2 linked regions of the Lepisosteus oculatus genome follow. The main gene of each other region encodes a partner of the protein of the gene in region 2 in a complex. Links are inferred from orthologs where the notes say so. Each region holds a gene or a part of one and is shown on either strand. Other genes may lie near its edges.

Region 1 (6,949 bases), on a different chromosome or scaffold from region 2:
TTTCTCACACGCTCCTCATACTGCGAGATTACAGCACCATCCATTTTCTAACTGCTTCATGCAATTCAGGATCGCGGGGGAGCTAGATCCTCTTCTGGCACGCAACAGGCACAGTATACAGTTAACCCTGGAAGGTAAACAGACAAACAGTGCCTCTGGACTGCGGGAGGACACTGGAGTGGCCAGAGGAAACTCGTGTGAACATACAAACTCCACACAGACAGCACACAGAGTTTTCCAGAATTACATCTGGGCATCACAGTGAATTAAGTCCTGATTAAAAAAAAATGTGTAAAAGTTAACCAGAGGTAGGAAATTGTACAACCCCCTCCCAAGTTAACAGAAAGGTAAAAGTACCTGAAATTAAGACTCCCCTAGGTCACGGCAAGGTCACTAAGCTCACCTGTACATTTTACATGCCTGCCTGTTTTTTTTCCCCAGTTGTAATATAATTGGGTGGAATGGTGATCTTGTCATATCTATGGTAACAATGTACACATACAAGAACCCGAGGTGTGGCATCCACAAGCAAGAATATTTGAGAAGCCTTTGTAACCCGGTTCTCTGTGGATGGGCTTGTGCATGGCAAGATGGGAAAACACAATCAAAATGAAGTTTTAAAAAAAAAATAACGAGGTCATCCTGGGATGCCCCCTGCATCTTTCATGACGGACGAATTAAGGACCGCGAGAGTGTTCTGGGCTAAGCTGGTGCAAAGTGCACTATACCAAATCATTCAGCTCCCTTTTTTTTTTTTTGAGGCTGCCGATTTGGGCCTGTGCTTTGCCCACACACACACAAAGCAAACTAGAAGAAGAAAGATCGCTGCAGTTTTAAGACGTTAGCCGACCTCTCTCTTTCAAACAAAGTACTTCAACGCGTCTGGAGTGCCATACACGGCACACGCAAAGAATCCGTTCCTCACTGAGTCACTGCCGACAAGCAAAAGGAGAAGACTTCCTGTGAGAAATGCCATAAGAATCTCCCAAGCATAGAGAATGCTAGCATGTGACCAACCTGCCTTGAGCTCCTGCCAGTTCAGCACTTCCTCTCCCTGACAAGAGCGAGACCTCACCATCTCTCTCCCTGCAGCTGAACACACTCCTTCCCTCTGTGGCCTACTACCTGACACTCACCAGGCACCCCTGAGCTCCTTTAAATGACTTCACGTGAAATGAGGTCAGGAAATTGCGAAAACGGCAGGGGCTTAAAATATCGTTTTTTTTTTACAAATCATGACTCAGCAGTGCATTATCTGCAACATCTCCACCAAACAGCGGCTGACATGCTCACACGGAACGAAGCCAACCGACACCCCTCAAGTGAAAACCTGGTGGCTATGTTTTCAGTTTCCCCACGGCAGATCCTCAAGAGCTCTCACTTCTCCACCTGACCTGGGGGATACACCCCCTCCTGTGTGTGCAAGAGTAAAACACTGAGGTCCTTCAGGGCGAACAGCAGGGGATTCGTGCACACGATTCTTCAGATTTTGTCACCCTCATTCCTAGGTTTTTCACCTTTATCATAATAAAACTCCCCCCATCTTTCAGAATCAGGCAGAAACTGTAGTCTGCTCCAGGATACACAATCCGGGTGACCTCACAGGGGCCTGGATGCCGACAGAAGCAAAACCAAGTAGCTGGAAATCCTTGTAAAACGTGTTTTCAGATCTAACCCTTCTCGGTGGTACATTCGGATCACAATCTGCGGCACACTGAGCATCCGAGAGCCGAAACTCTAGCGGGCTGTCTTCAGGCACGAAAGAACACACCCGATCCTGCTTAGAGATCCCCCAGCTGAAAAACTGAATCAATCGATTTCGAACAGAGATCCAGAAAAATCCAAGAAACCAGGGATAACACTCTTTCTACACCCGTCTCGTCCTGGGCTGTCTTTTGGAAAACCATTCAAAAAGGTGGCCAAGAACGCGTCAGAGCTGTGTAAATTGGTCTTCTGAGTACGGACCATTGAAAACCGGCTTTACAGAGACGACAACACAGCCGAGGCCTAAGAGACCCTCGCATGCAGCGTCTTGCAATAGAAATGCGGCAGAAGGGGGGTAAAACGCTTCTTTTGAACAGTCGTCATTGTCCATTTTATTTGCAGCTCGGCTACGCCTGTCAACACCGTATACCTTAACCGACCCGGGCCTGCTGTCTCAGCTCACCGGGACTGAGGGGCAGCGCAATGCCCTGCAAGCCTAAGAAATCGCCGTCTTCGCCACAATTTCACAAGCACGCATTGATAAGACCGCAGGAGAGGCTCATGAAGCGACACGGACAGCACACCCCCACCCCACATATCTCTCGCATGACAAATCAAAAACATGCTCTGCACCTCCAGCGCCGTGACAGCAGCACCGCTTGAATTCAGATCGCGTTTGCAGAAGGGAGGGGGGGGACGGATATCTGGCCGGCGACCCGGCCGGTGTTGTTGTCACTTCATTACACCCGACGCTGTCACCGTTTAAACTTTAAACCCCTCCCAGCCGGGCCGGGGTTGTGCTGCTGCCCGGCGAGAGCTGCTAGGCCCGGCCCGCCTCCTCCATCAGCACCGGTGTCGCCGCTCCAGCCCCCTGACACAGCACTGGGGGGGACAGGACCCCCAAACGTGCCGCCACGCAGCGGACGAGCGACAGTCCCTGTGCGATGGGCACCGAGAAGCGATAGTCTCGATATTTCAACACCCCCCCTCCCCTCCCCGGTATTCCTCGCCTCTTATTCAAACGGCAAACAAAATATCATGAGACCGACCTCTTCCGGATAGAGAGACACCGAACAAAAGCCACCGGCCAGCGCCGCCCGCAGCCCCGCAAAACGAGCGAAAACAAGAGGGGGGAAAAACCGACACGAAACGTCGACAGTCACCTTCCCGGCGTGCAGAACCCGCCGCCGTGCAGGAATGGAGCGGACGGGCTTGCCGAGCCGGATAATATTCGCGATCTGGGTGTAGTCACCCCCTCCTCCTTCCTGCCTGCCTTTCTCTCCCCCCCCCGACGACAAGGGAGAGATTCTCATCCAGAGGCGACCGCCCGGCTCCGACAGCCGCCGGCGGGGCGGCCCGGAGGTCCGGCCCGGCCCGCTTACCGTGATTCCGAGGGCGGCTGCGTCGACTCGCTCCGGCGCTGTGAAGGGATCCGCAGGGCGATCCTGGGCTGAGGAGTCTGCCGATCCAAGATGGCGGCCCGCGCTGCACAGGGTTTCCTCCGTCACACACAATGGGCCTGGGGGGACAAAGGGCAGCGGCGCGCGCCCGGCGCCCGCGCGAGGCGCGAGGCGCGAGGCCACGGGCCACGGGCCACCGGCCACGGGCGTCCCGTCCCGTCGGCAGCACTGCGGAAGTATCGCCGTGCACGGTGTGCACTCAGCTTCACGGTGACACCGACACGGCACTGTGCTCCTACAGAGGGGAGAGTCCTGTGTCCCGGACTATTCAAAGTAATAATAATAATATGAATCAGTTTCCCTACGGGATCAATCAACTCTTATCTATCTCTATCTCTCTGATGATACAGCGTTTCCCTACGGGATCAATCCACTCTTATCTATCTCTTATCTCTCTAACGACACAGCTTTATTTTCTATAGCGCCTTTGAGGGCTTTACAGGACGGCGCCAACAACAGGTGTGAAGGCGTGTTGGCGGACTTTTTGGAAATGTAAAAACGTGAAATGAAAACTGTGCGCACCTTACTGGCTCTTGACTCTGTTTTGTCAAACGGACGATGTTATTGATATGTTGTATGTACTCTTGTTTGCGTTGTATTTTCTTTCGACTGTATTTCTACTATTAAACCCTATCTTTATCAAAATAAACGACAGTACAAGGACTGGACTTGTATTATTATTGTGGCTTTCACCTTCAGAGGTTTTTTGTAAGTGATGAACATGTAAATTAAATAAATAACGTGAGTTAGTTACTAGATAATATCACAGGAACTCTATTAAAGAGGTGAGACCTTTGTTGTACATTTCAGTAAAATACATGGCAGTGATAATAATATTTCACCTTGTTGACCAGTTTATAAACACTGACACTGTGGTATCACGTATGAACAACTGATTTTATAGTACGCCTCTCAGTCATAAATCTAGTTTCCAGACATGATGGTAATGTGAGAAAGGGCCTCTTTTTCAGAGGATGTGATTGTTTTTCTGAAGTGACTCAAAAGATTGCAGCGTCTGCTCTGGATCAGGGTCTCGTCCGGGTAAGGATGCAGATCTGGCTCCTGCAGGGTGCCTGGGACGCAGGAGCCAGGAGGAAGTGGTCAGAGACATCACAGCTGATCAGAGCTGGGGGTGTGGACCTCGGCGAGGCAGCCCTGCTAACGGACAACAAGCAGGCTGCACATTTCTGCTCTCCCCCGCGGCTGGCTGGGGAGTTTCCCCGATACAAGCTCCTTCTGCTCCACTGCTGCAGCCTGTCGCACCGCCCTGTGAAGCTCAGCGTTGAGCACTGCAGCCTCACAGCCCTGGGTTCAGTTCCCGGGGTGCTGTCTGTGTGGAGTTTGCATGTTCCTCGCTGGTTTGTGTGGGTCTGCTCCAGTTCCCCCCCCACAGCCCAGAGGCATGCTGGCCTGCAGCCTCAGTCCGAGTTTATCCCCAAGGTCAGTCCAGTTAGCAGGTTTGTGTCTGGCAGCTGGCAGCTCACTGTGGCTCAGCAGGTGTGAGTCTGGCCAGTACCTGGAGGGGAGACTCCTGGGAAACACTAAGGCTGCTGCTGGAAGAGGTGTTAGTGGGGCCAGTGGGGGGCGCTCACCCTGCGGTCTGTGTGGGTCCTAATGCCCCAGTATAGTGACGGGGACACCGTACTGTAAATACTTGCAGTCTGTTTCCCTGAGACCCTCCGTGATCATGTCCTCTGACTGCTTGGCCTCCTGTTCTGTGATAGCTTGGGTCCTCCTGCTCCTAAAAAGGCGAATTATGATGATGATGATAATTATTATCATTATAATAGCAGCTCAATGTGTCCGGGAAGAAAACCGTCGCCCTTCTCCACGGGTAACGTTGCTGGCAAAGCTGCTGTTGACAAGACAGAGACGGTCTCGCGGGAGAAGGTGGGCGGGGCTTGAAAGGGTGGCAGGACCTGATTGGGCGATTCGGTTACACGTCTTCACCTTACGGGGTCATGGAGACGTCACTTCCGGGGTGGAGGGATTACATAGTCGGAGACCCAGGGCTGGGTAGTTCGGAAGACAGCCGCCAGAGGGCGATACATTACAAGCTATAAAACTATTTGGCATCCCCCTTTATCGTTGATATGGAGGCTTCATATTATCCATTCATTTTCCAACGGCTTTGTCCGATACAGGATGCGAGGGATCGGGAGCCTATCCCGGCAGGCAACGTTGGCAAGGGGGATACACCCTTTGCAGGACGTCACATAACCGGACAGAATATTGATCTGCAATACTCCTGTTTTTCTCAGCGAGGTGCATTATTATTATTAATAATAATAATAATGCTTACACTTATATAGCGCTTTTCTGGACACTCCATTCAAAGCGCTTTACAGGTAATGGGGATCCCCTCCACCCCCACCAGTGTGCAGCCCCTCCTGGAAGATGCCAGTTCATAGATGGGGATTATTAGGAGGCCATGACTGGTAAAGGCCAGGGGGATATTTTGGGCCAGGACGCCGGGGTTACGCCCCTACTCTTTTCGAGAAACGCCCTGGGATTTTTAATGACCACAGAGAGTCAGGACCTCGGTTTTGCGTCTCATCCGAAAGACGGATTGAGTTCAGTTCAGTGTTGTGAACTGATTCAGATGTGGTCCCTTTATTCACCGTGAGGCTGGGAGCTGCTGCTGCCTGCAGCCCTCGGGATCCGGGTTCGATTCTGCCCTGGGGCTCCTTCTGTGGGAAGCTTGCATGTGCTTCCCACTGTTGGCTCAGGTTTCCACCAGGTACTCTAGTTTTCTCCTACCTTCCAAAGACCATGAGGTCACCAAAACATATCTGAGGTGTCTAGAGTGCTTCTAACATCTGCAACACATCTGTCCTTTCTATTCTGAAAAAGGAGAGTCACTGATCTGGCCTCACGTGAAATGATGGTCAGTGTTTCACATCCCTGTCAGGCCATTTTGTGTGCTTGGTCCATAATTAAGCCTAAAGACTCATCAGGCCAGAACTTCTCCCATCTTCTGTAGTACGAAAGCAGGCTGCAGGGCAGCGCTCTCCTCTGCTGACAGGGGTCCCATCTTGGGTCATCCATCCATCTGTCTGCCTGCAGCTCCCGGCTGGCAGCCCACTGGAGCCCAGCAGTGTGAGCCTGGTCGGTACCTGGAGGGGAGACTCCTGGGAAAGCTGGGGCTGCTGCTGGAAGAAAGGTTAGTGGGACCAGTATGGGTCTGTGTGAGTCCTAATGCCCCAGTATAGTGATGGGGACACTATACTGTAAAAAGGAGCCGTCTCTCGGATGAGTCATAAGTCATCTTGACTCTCTGTGGTTATTGAAACTCCCGGGGCGTTTCTCGAAAAGAGTAGGGGTGTTACCCCGCTGTCCCGGCCAAATTTCCCCCGGCCTTTACCAGTCATGACCTCCTTATAAACCCCTTTAATCATCCTTTTCTAACTTGTGGACCACCGGCAGGTTTTGAAATAACAGTCATGGTAATTTTGTCTTCATCATCATATACAGTATATCAGCACAACATGGGAGTGCTTCTTATACCGGTCTGGCCTTTTGTTCGCCTAGATTGAATCATTTAATCTTTTTTTTTTGTAAACAGTTATCGCAACAAAATGCCTCTATTTCGCAAAGTGTGCAAGATCTGTTTGAAAAGCCACTGTGGTGTGATGAAAAAAACCCCCAACAACTTCAGAATAAAACTTCGGAAGCTGTGGAAAAAAAAAGATAACTTGAAAGAAGACGCCTCTATGACATTGGAAGACTTCTGCCTTTACTTGTCAGTACTTGATAAGGGTGGATGTAGTGAAAAATCCGGATGT
Region 2 (7,155 bases):
ATTTTCTCCAGCAGTTCTGATGTTTTGAAGCAAAGTCCACATCCGAGCTTAAAAACATGAGAATGAAAGGAGGCCACTTAGAACATCTAGCCATTTTGGTACAAAGCAATTAATTGATCACAGGATCTCAGCCAGCCATTTAGTGAAAAATAAGGTTGATATCAGGGTATTGGCTTCAACAACATGGCTGGCTAGCTGCTGCCATTCTCTCACAATATCTTCGTGGGAGTAGCTAATCACCAGCACCAAAAGCAAAACGCTTTAACATTTAATGCTAGTCCCCAAGTCGTTTCTTTGGCATTGTCATGGGTTCATCCCCCAAAGCAGGACTGGGCGGAAAAAGGTTTAAAAACTTTACAATGCAAATAAAGCAGGAGTAATGGGTGTAGAAAACAATCAAACAACAGTGAGCGATAAGGAAGTTTTCACACTAGGGGACGACTCTAGCTTCTGTAGCTTGTCAAGTCACTGTCATGCCGCCGAGTACTGTCGAAACTATAATCAGATTAAAAGAGGTGGGGGCCCTTTTCCAATTACTGGTAATTAACACAATAAAAATGGACCTCCCCTCTGTTTATATTTGCCTTTTCAAATATTCATAGCTCTTCCACCCACTCCCACTGAAGATGACCTTTCTTGGAAGGAAGGCTAATGTCTGATGGCACAGTTTAGGAATATGCAAGGAACATTTCTTAGAACTGCTCAAACGCTTCATGGATTCCACAGGCACACCACAGTACTGTGCATACTACAATTGAAGAAAAGACAAGCAAAACAGCAAGGATTATGAACGCTAACATAATATATATCCTCTCACGTATTGCGGCATAAAAACAAATTCTTAAAGAACTCTATTTTTGCATTATACAATTTACCTTCACGAACAACTAGTAAATGAAAAAGTTTAAGTTCCTTTATATAAATAACATACTTGTGGACAGCCAGTTTCAATCTAACAGGTACATACTACTTTCAGTTGGAAAACTGAAATCAAGCCAATTCCTCAATTTACAGTCTTTAAATCAATTAAATAAATCTTTTACTTATGTATTCCGAAAAGGGCTAACAAATTCCTTTTACTCATGAGTTCTCAAAATAAGTACAACTTGCTTTTCTTTTGGGATACAAAAGAAAGTTCTTTCGCCGTAGGGGAACAGACATCTCTTCTTCACTTTACACATTTCTATTTCCCAGAAAGTGAGGAGGGACACTTCAGGACTTAAGGCAAGTAACCGGCAAAAAAAAAAAAAACTACAGCAGTTAAAGTTCTTAGAAATGTGAAGAGAGACCAGCTGTGAGAACAAAGGTAAAAAGGATTTCTATACCGGACAGATTGCAACTTTTTGCACGGGCTTGGCAGACAACAGAAAGGAGAGGGAGAAAAAAATCAGGCTGTTTTCCATGTTCTGAAAGCACAGAGTTCAACTCCCCAGCAAGATGCACTTGTCGGCATGGAGAAGAGGGCAAGAGTTTCAGATTTGATCCAAGAACTCTGGAGACACTTCTTTAGGCTGGCTAGACCAGCAGGAACACCTGAACCGAAACAGTCTGGAGACTTACTCAGTCCTGTTGCGGTTTTTGTTCTCCTGCAGCTCCACGAGGTTGATGACCGCCTGCCCCAGGAACTGGTCCAGCCCCACCAGAGCCCGGTGCATGACGACGATGTACAGGGTGCATCGCTGCTCGTTGCCCTGGTGGAACATGGGCAAGTCGAAGGTGGCTTCCTCCTTCCACACCGGCATCGGCGATTTCTCCACCACCGAGGTGGAGTACTTCTCCTTGGCCAGCTGGATAATGGCGTAGGCGTCGTTGGTGCCATTCTTGCCCTTGGCTTTGAGGTTCCTGGCCTGCAGCACCGTCACCTGCACGGTGGTGGGGTACCACTGCTGGCTCTGCTCCGCCAGAGACATGGCCCGTGTCCGGGGGTCGGGCGAACGAAACCTGTCGCTAGAAGAGGCTGAACGGAGGGCACTTCAAAGGGAACTGTCCCGAGTTTCTAGGTATCGCCGTGTCCGTGCCAAAGCGAGCTGGTCCTCTCTCTGTCTCGAGTCGCAAACGAAGTCTGTAGTTGGCACGGCTTGGGATGTTTCACAACCCTTTGCCACTCCTTAAAAAAATGCGATAACGTTAGCTGTAGTGTTTTGAAAACACCACGAACTGGAATGCTTAATCTTGAAATTCCTCAGCGACACCAATGACGTGACCTTATCATAAAACACTCCTCCTTGGAGCAGTTTACGTAAAAGTCACTATCTAAAAATATGTTGAATATTTTGTCGCCCTCGCACCTTTGAATATTTTTAACGTACGCCACACCGCGCACTTGTTCAGTACCGCACCGACCGACTCGTCTATTTTCTGCGTTTTGTCGTGTAAAGCCCCAAAGGACTTTTCACTAGCGCGTTGCTATAAGCGAATTTCAAAGCCCGAAATTTCTTTTTGTCAACTTTTTTTCCTAACAAACAGCATTACCTTCGAAGGAAATTATCCGGGGTCGTCTTTTTCTTTTCCTGGGAAAGTCTATACTCGTCATAAACACATTCGTGGTAATAACAGTTGCTACACGATATATGTCCAGCCTCCGCAACTGCCGCCTGTAACCCGCTTCGCATCCACGTTCGTTCTTGTAAGTAGGATTTATTAATTAAACGGGTTTTTTTTTACCGAAACTGCTACCTTAAGCAAACTCAGGTCATCAGTCCACAGCTGCTAAAGTTACCATGTGTACAGCTTATTCAACGAGAGTCGTTTCATCGATAGTTACCATTCGCTGCCCACAACATTTCATTAGAAAGCAGGTCTTTTCATTCCGGCTTTAAAAAAAAATATTGACATTTTTAGAATACCGGCTCCTTTCAGTTATCGCATTTCGCCTTAGTCTCAGTAATTCGAGTGCTACCTCTTGTTTTATTAACTCACAGTCAATACTAAACTTCCTCCTTCATCACGCACCACCTCGACCTTCTCCCGTCCATCTGCCCAATACGAAGTTGCTTATTGGCCAATTACCGATCAATCAAACCTTTTCCTTCTGTGATTGGTGGAAATGCTCTACAACAGGTTGCTATTGTCCGGAGCAGGTAAAGATCAGGGATCAAATTGCTCGGCAACAGGCATTACGTCATTGTAACACAATGACCTGCGTGTTTAAAAGCGAAGTTCCATTCGGGTTTAAAGAAATGCAACTGAGTGTAAAAAAAAACTAAAGTGATAAGTTTGCACAAACATAATTGTTAAAGAGATTAAACACGATGACAAGCATTACGGTACAGGTAAAGCGTGGATGTAAGTCTATAATTATAATCTGCACTGAAATTATATAATCATAAATACTGTTAGGAAAATATAGAGAAATATGTCAACCATTCATTTCGACGCGTATCTGCTTAGGAAACAGGCTTGTTTGTAAAATGAGTTGGCGTATTGTCGATTTAATCGCTGTATTCAAGCAGCAAAAAACTAAAGGTGGAAAAACTAAGGTTGCTACTGAAAGAGGTGTTAGTGGGGGCAGTAGGGGGCGCTCACTCTGCGGTCTGTGTGGGCCCTAACATTCCAGTATAGTAGTTCAGGTGAACAGAGCTCGCTGTATCACCTGCAAGTACACATCCAACACCACACTCATTCAAGGCCCCTCAGGACAATTCCGGATCACCCAGATGGCATCTTGTACCTCCAGCAACTTTTTTTACTGTATCTCTTGCAGTAAATGTCCAGCCATCTACATTGGAGAAACAGGAAGGAGACTCGGAGACCGCTTCAGAGAACACGTCAGGGCTGTGAAGATTAAAGATCTCTCCAAGCCCATTGTTTCTCATTTCACCTCTGATGGCCACGACCACTCTAATCCCTCCGTCTGTGTTCTCAAAGACGGTTTTCCGAACTCATACATCAGAAAGACCACCGAAACCAAACTTATCCTGCAGCTAGGATCACACCTTCCGCCTTCTCTTAACGACAGACTACTATTCTACTACATTTTCTCCATTCATTGGAAGTTTCATTTCACACCTCTCGACACCTATCCTGACTTCACACCTCTTGATTTCTGTCCCCTGCTCCCTCCCAGCCTTTGTTCTCCCACTACACTACCTTTGCCTACTGCCCTGTCTCTCTCACACCTGAAGAAGACTCCACGGCCGAAACATTGCGTTTTCTTTCTTCTCTTTTCAGCATGGAATAAACCTATTGTCCCTTTGCAGCCTACGCATGCTGACGCAGCTGCCCACCTGATTTATTATTAGTTAATTTTGGTTTCGTATAATATCTATAATAATAGAATTAAATACAGGATATAATAGAATGTAGGGCAATCAGACATAGGTCCTAGTAAAAACGTGAGTTTTGAGTTTAGATTTGAAACAGTCAAAGAATTTGTCTCTGCAGGAGTTAGAGGAAATATTAAATAACAAAGGAACAGCGACGGAAAAGACATAGGCACCAAAAGTCTCAGATTTAGTCCTAGGTATTGTGTACTATACATTCCACTGAAATTTCCAAAGGGAGTGAGAGAGTCTGTGAGTGACTGTTCAAGGTACAGGGATGGATGAAGGCTATCCTTATGGAGTATCCTGGGTTCAAGATACGGGAGCACAGAGCTGTCGGCACACCTTGACCATTAGCGCACTCAATTTGTCCCGGTAACTTTTCTGCTGAAACCATGGATGCTGTCCAAGTTATTATTGCTTGCTCTCATTCGATTTACGTGGTTAAATAAATAAAACGACAAGCATTTAAAAAGTAGTAAGAGATTAAATTGCAATTTATCATTTCTGAAAGACAAGCGCTCTCACTGGACAGTCGAGCGGCTCCTATTAAGGTGGAAAGACACACTGTCCTGTGACTGTGAAATGCTGTAGTTTTTATTTAGGACGAACATAATGAGTCCTGAGCTTATTCTTTTTTTTTTTGTGACCCGGCCAGCAGAAAGATCGAGTCAGGGAATAACTGCTCTCCATTCACATAAAGTCGCTTGGTCAATACGTTACCATCGTAAATTCAAGAAACGCCATCACCCCCAGACGAAGCCGCACGATCTTGCTAAAAATAACACGCTTTCTTAACTTTTTTTTACTATTGCCTTTTTTTTGTCTACAACAAAAAAGCACAGCAAATAAAACCACTAAAATAAGATTTCAGATTTTTTTAGTCACGGTGAACCACACATCATGAAGGGAACCGACTGCCCGCAATTTTGAGACACCAGCGCCATCTTCTGTCCTTCGTGTCAGATTCTATATACGGCCTTAAATGGTGAAAAAGTGGTCGTTACCGCGAAAGGCAAATACAATTGACAAATTATGTGCCTTTTTTCACGCTTTTATGCAACTCAATGGGGCCAGGGTAAAAAAAAAAATATGTGTTTCAGGATGTAAGTGGTTATACAATTGTGACTGACCTTTCAATTAAAAATCTAGCCGGACCTACAAGCACTGCACAAAATCCCAAAAGGTGAAACTTTCGCCGTAGTATTATTCCCCAGCACTCACATACGTACATCTACGCCCTTCCAGGCTATGCTTAGCTTTTAATACAAAATTAACGTTCAGTGAGTTTTTAATTCCGATGGGGGGGGGTGGTTCTAAACTTTGATTAAAACGGTATTTCGGTTTTAATTGCAGTGTCGTTCATCTTTAATTGATACGGTCTTGTCAAGAATCAAATTACTAATTGCGCCCTTCTCTAAATGAGGAAATCAGTACATACACGATTAATTGCATTGTATCGATACATCGAAAAGTACATTTCCTACATAGCGCAGCAAACACTTCACAATTTCAATGGGATGCTTTCCTAGGGGGCGCCGTGGGCCCGTTTTGTATTCTGTTCTGGACGTGCCCGGATGTGGATGAGTTTTGACATTTTATTTTCTGGTTTGTCCAGTGTTCTTAAAATAAGGAGGCTCCTTATTAATTTGGTCTTTTGTCTTACTAAATGATAATTGTGGTCTTGACTTCTGTCTGTGACAGAAGGGGGTCTGTGGGGTTGGTCCTATAGCTCAACAGATGTTGGCGCTACGCTGGGACCCTCACACTAGCTGTCCTGACATTACGGGCTTATCTTGATTTAATTTATATGGAACATTAAACGTCTAGGATCTGTGGTGCCACGGACAGACGGTAGAGGCTTTGAGCGCTGCTGCTGCTAAGAGCAGGTCCTTATTAGGAGCTGTTTCGTCTGTTTACAGCAGGGGGAGGTTCCCACTGATAGCGGGGAAAGAGCGAATTGTTCAAAACATACAACCTAACATTCTAGCCCGCCTTATGTTGTGGAATTCAAGAATCTGTGCTCATTTTCAAGTATTGCTTTTTAAAAAACATTTAGAATAAACAAAAGATGGGAGGGAGGAAGTTTCTCAGTGACACAATGCATACATAGCTTAAAAAAATCTTTATTTTGAAATAAACAACCGACAAAGCAAATCTTTTATAAGGCACTGTCCGGATTCTAGAAGAAATATATTATATAAAAATGCTTTATTATTAATATACATAATGAATTGTCTTCAGGTAAAAAATATAAATACGCACTTTAATCTTGAAATCTCCCCCTGTTCACCCAGAAATGAGAACTACAAAACCATAGATTTTTCAATTTTATGGTCGGTTAAATTTTCCTTTTTTTTGTTGAGTTTTCAGTTAAGAGCTCATAAAGCAGTTCAATAACATAACTCTGTGGCTTTAATGAAATGAGAGCTGAAGTAAAACAAATTAAATGAAACCTGAATCCTCCATTATAATGACGTGTACTCTTCCTTCTATAGTTGTTAATTTTTAAATACTTTAAATCGAGGGTTTGAAACTCAGAGCCAGGGGGCTGCAGATACTGAAAAACTGGATCAAGGCTGTATTATATATCATCCAATGTAAAACATCTTGGTAGAACTTTAAATATTTGTTGCTGGATCAATGATGTAACTGAGACCTTGGCCAATATTCTGTACAATCTTGGAGACATCTGCCAGTGTCAAATTTAAATCCTGAAACTTTCTGGAGGTTGTCCATTGAGTAGATGCAGGCAGGAGACTGCCTAACAGAAAGCACCCATCAATTGGCACCTAGAATTTGTGATTAAGTTGAAATTTCGATTTAATCCAGACCCTTGAAGCAGGAATAAAAATCTCTCTGGCCCTCTCCGAATGCCTGTCAAAGTCAGGAT

Evidence for each region. The genes of interacting proteins can lie anywhere in the genome.
Region 1: the proteins of rab11fip1a (region 2) and ras-related protein Rab-14 are in contact, whole or in part, in a crystal structure (PDB 4D0G), measured with the Homo sapiens proteins. The link is inferred for Lepisosteus oculatus from reciprocal best matches to the Homo sapiens genes RAB11FIP1 and RAB14. Residues at the interface, in NP_001002814.2 of Homo sapiens: Glu1252, Ile1255, Asp1256, Asn1257, Leu1259, Val1260, Met1263, Pro1267, Asn1268, Leu1270, Arg1271, Ile1272; in NP_057406.2 of Homo sapiens: Leu28, His29, Ile44, Gly45, Val46, Glu47, Phe48, Gly49, Trp65, Arg72, Arg74, Ala75, Val76, Ser79, Tyr80.

What each region holds. Positions count from the first base shown.
Region 1 is NC_090719.1:14,695,002-14,701,950, forward strand, and holds the start of ras-related protein Rab-14, read right to left. Parts: upstream 3,035-6,949; 5' UTR 2,868-3,034; intron 2,826-2,867; exon of another isoform or gene 2,754-2,825; intron 2,711-2,753; exon of another isoform or gene 2,338-2,710; intron 1-2,337.
Region 2 is NC_090697.1:72,846,626-72,853,780, forward strand, and holds the start of rab11fip1a (rab11 family-interacting protein 1), read right to left. Parts: upstream 3,056-7,155; 5' UTR 2,920-3,055; intron 2,914-2,919; exon of another isoform or gene 2,613-2,913; coding exon of another isoform or gene 2,473-2,612; intron 2,108-2,472; 5' UTR 1,911-2,107; coding exon 1,561-1,910; intron 1-1,560. UniProt on the Homo sapiens protein: A Rab11 effector protein involved in the endosomal recycling process. Also involved in controlling membrane trafficking along the phagocytic pathway and in phagocytosis. Interaction with RAB14 may function in the process of neurite formation.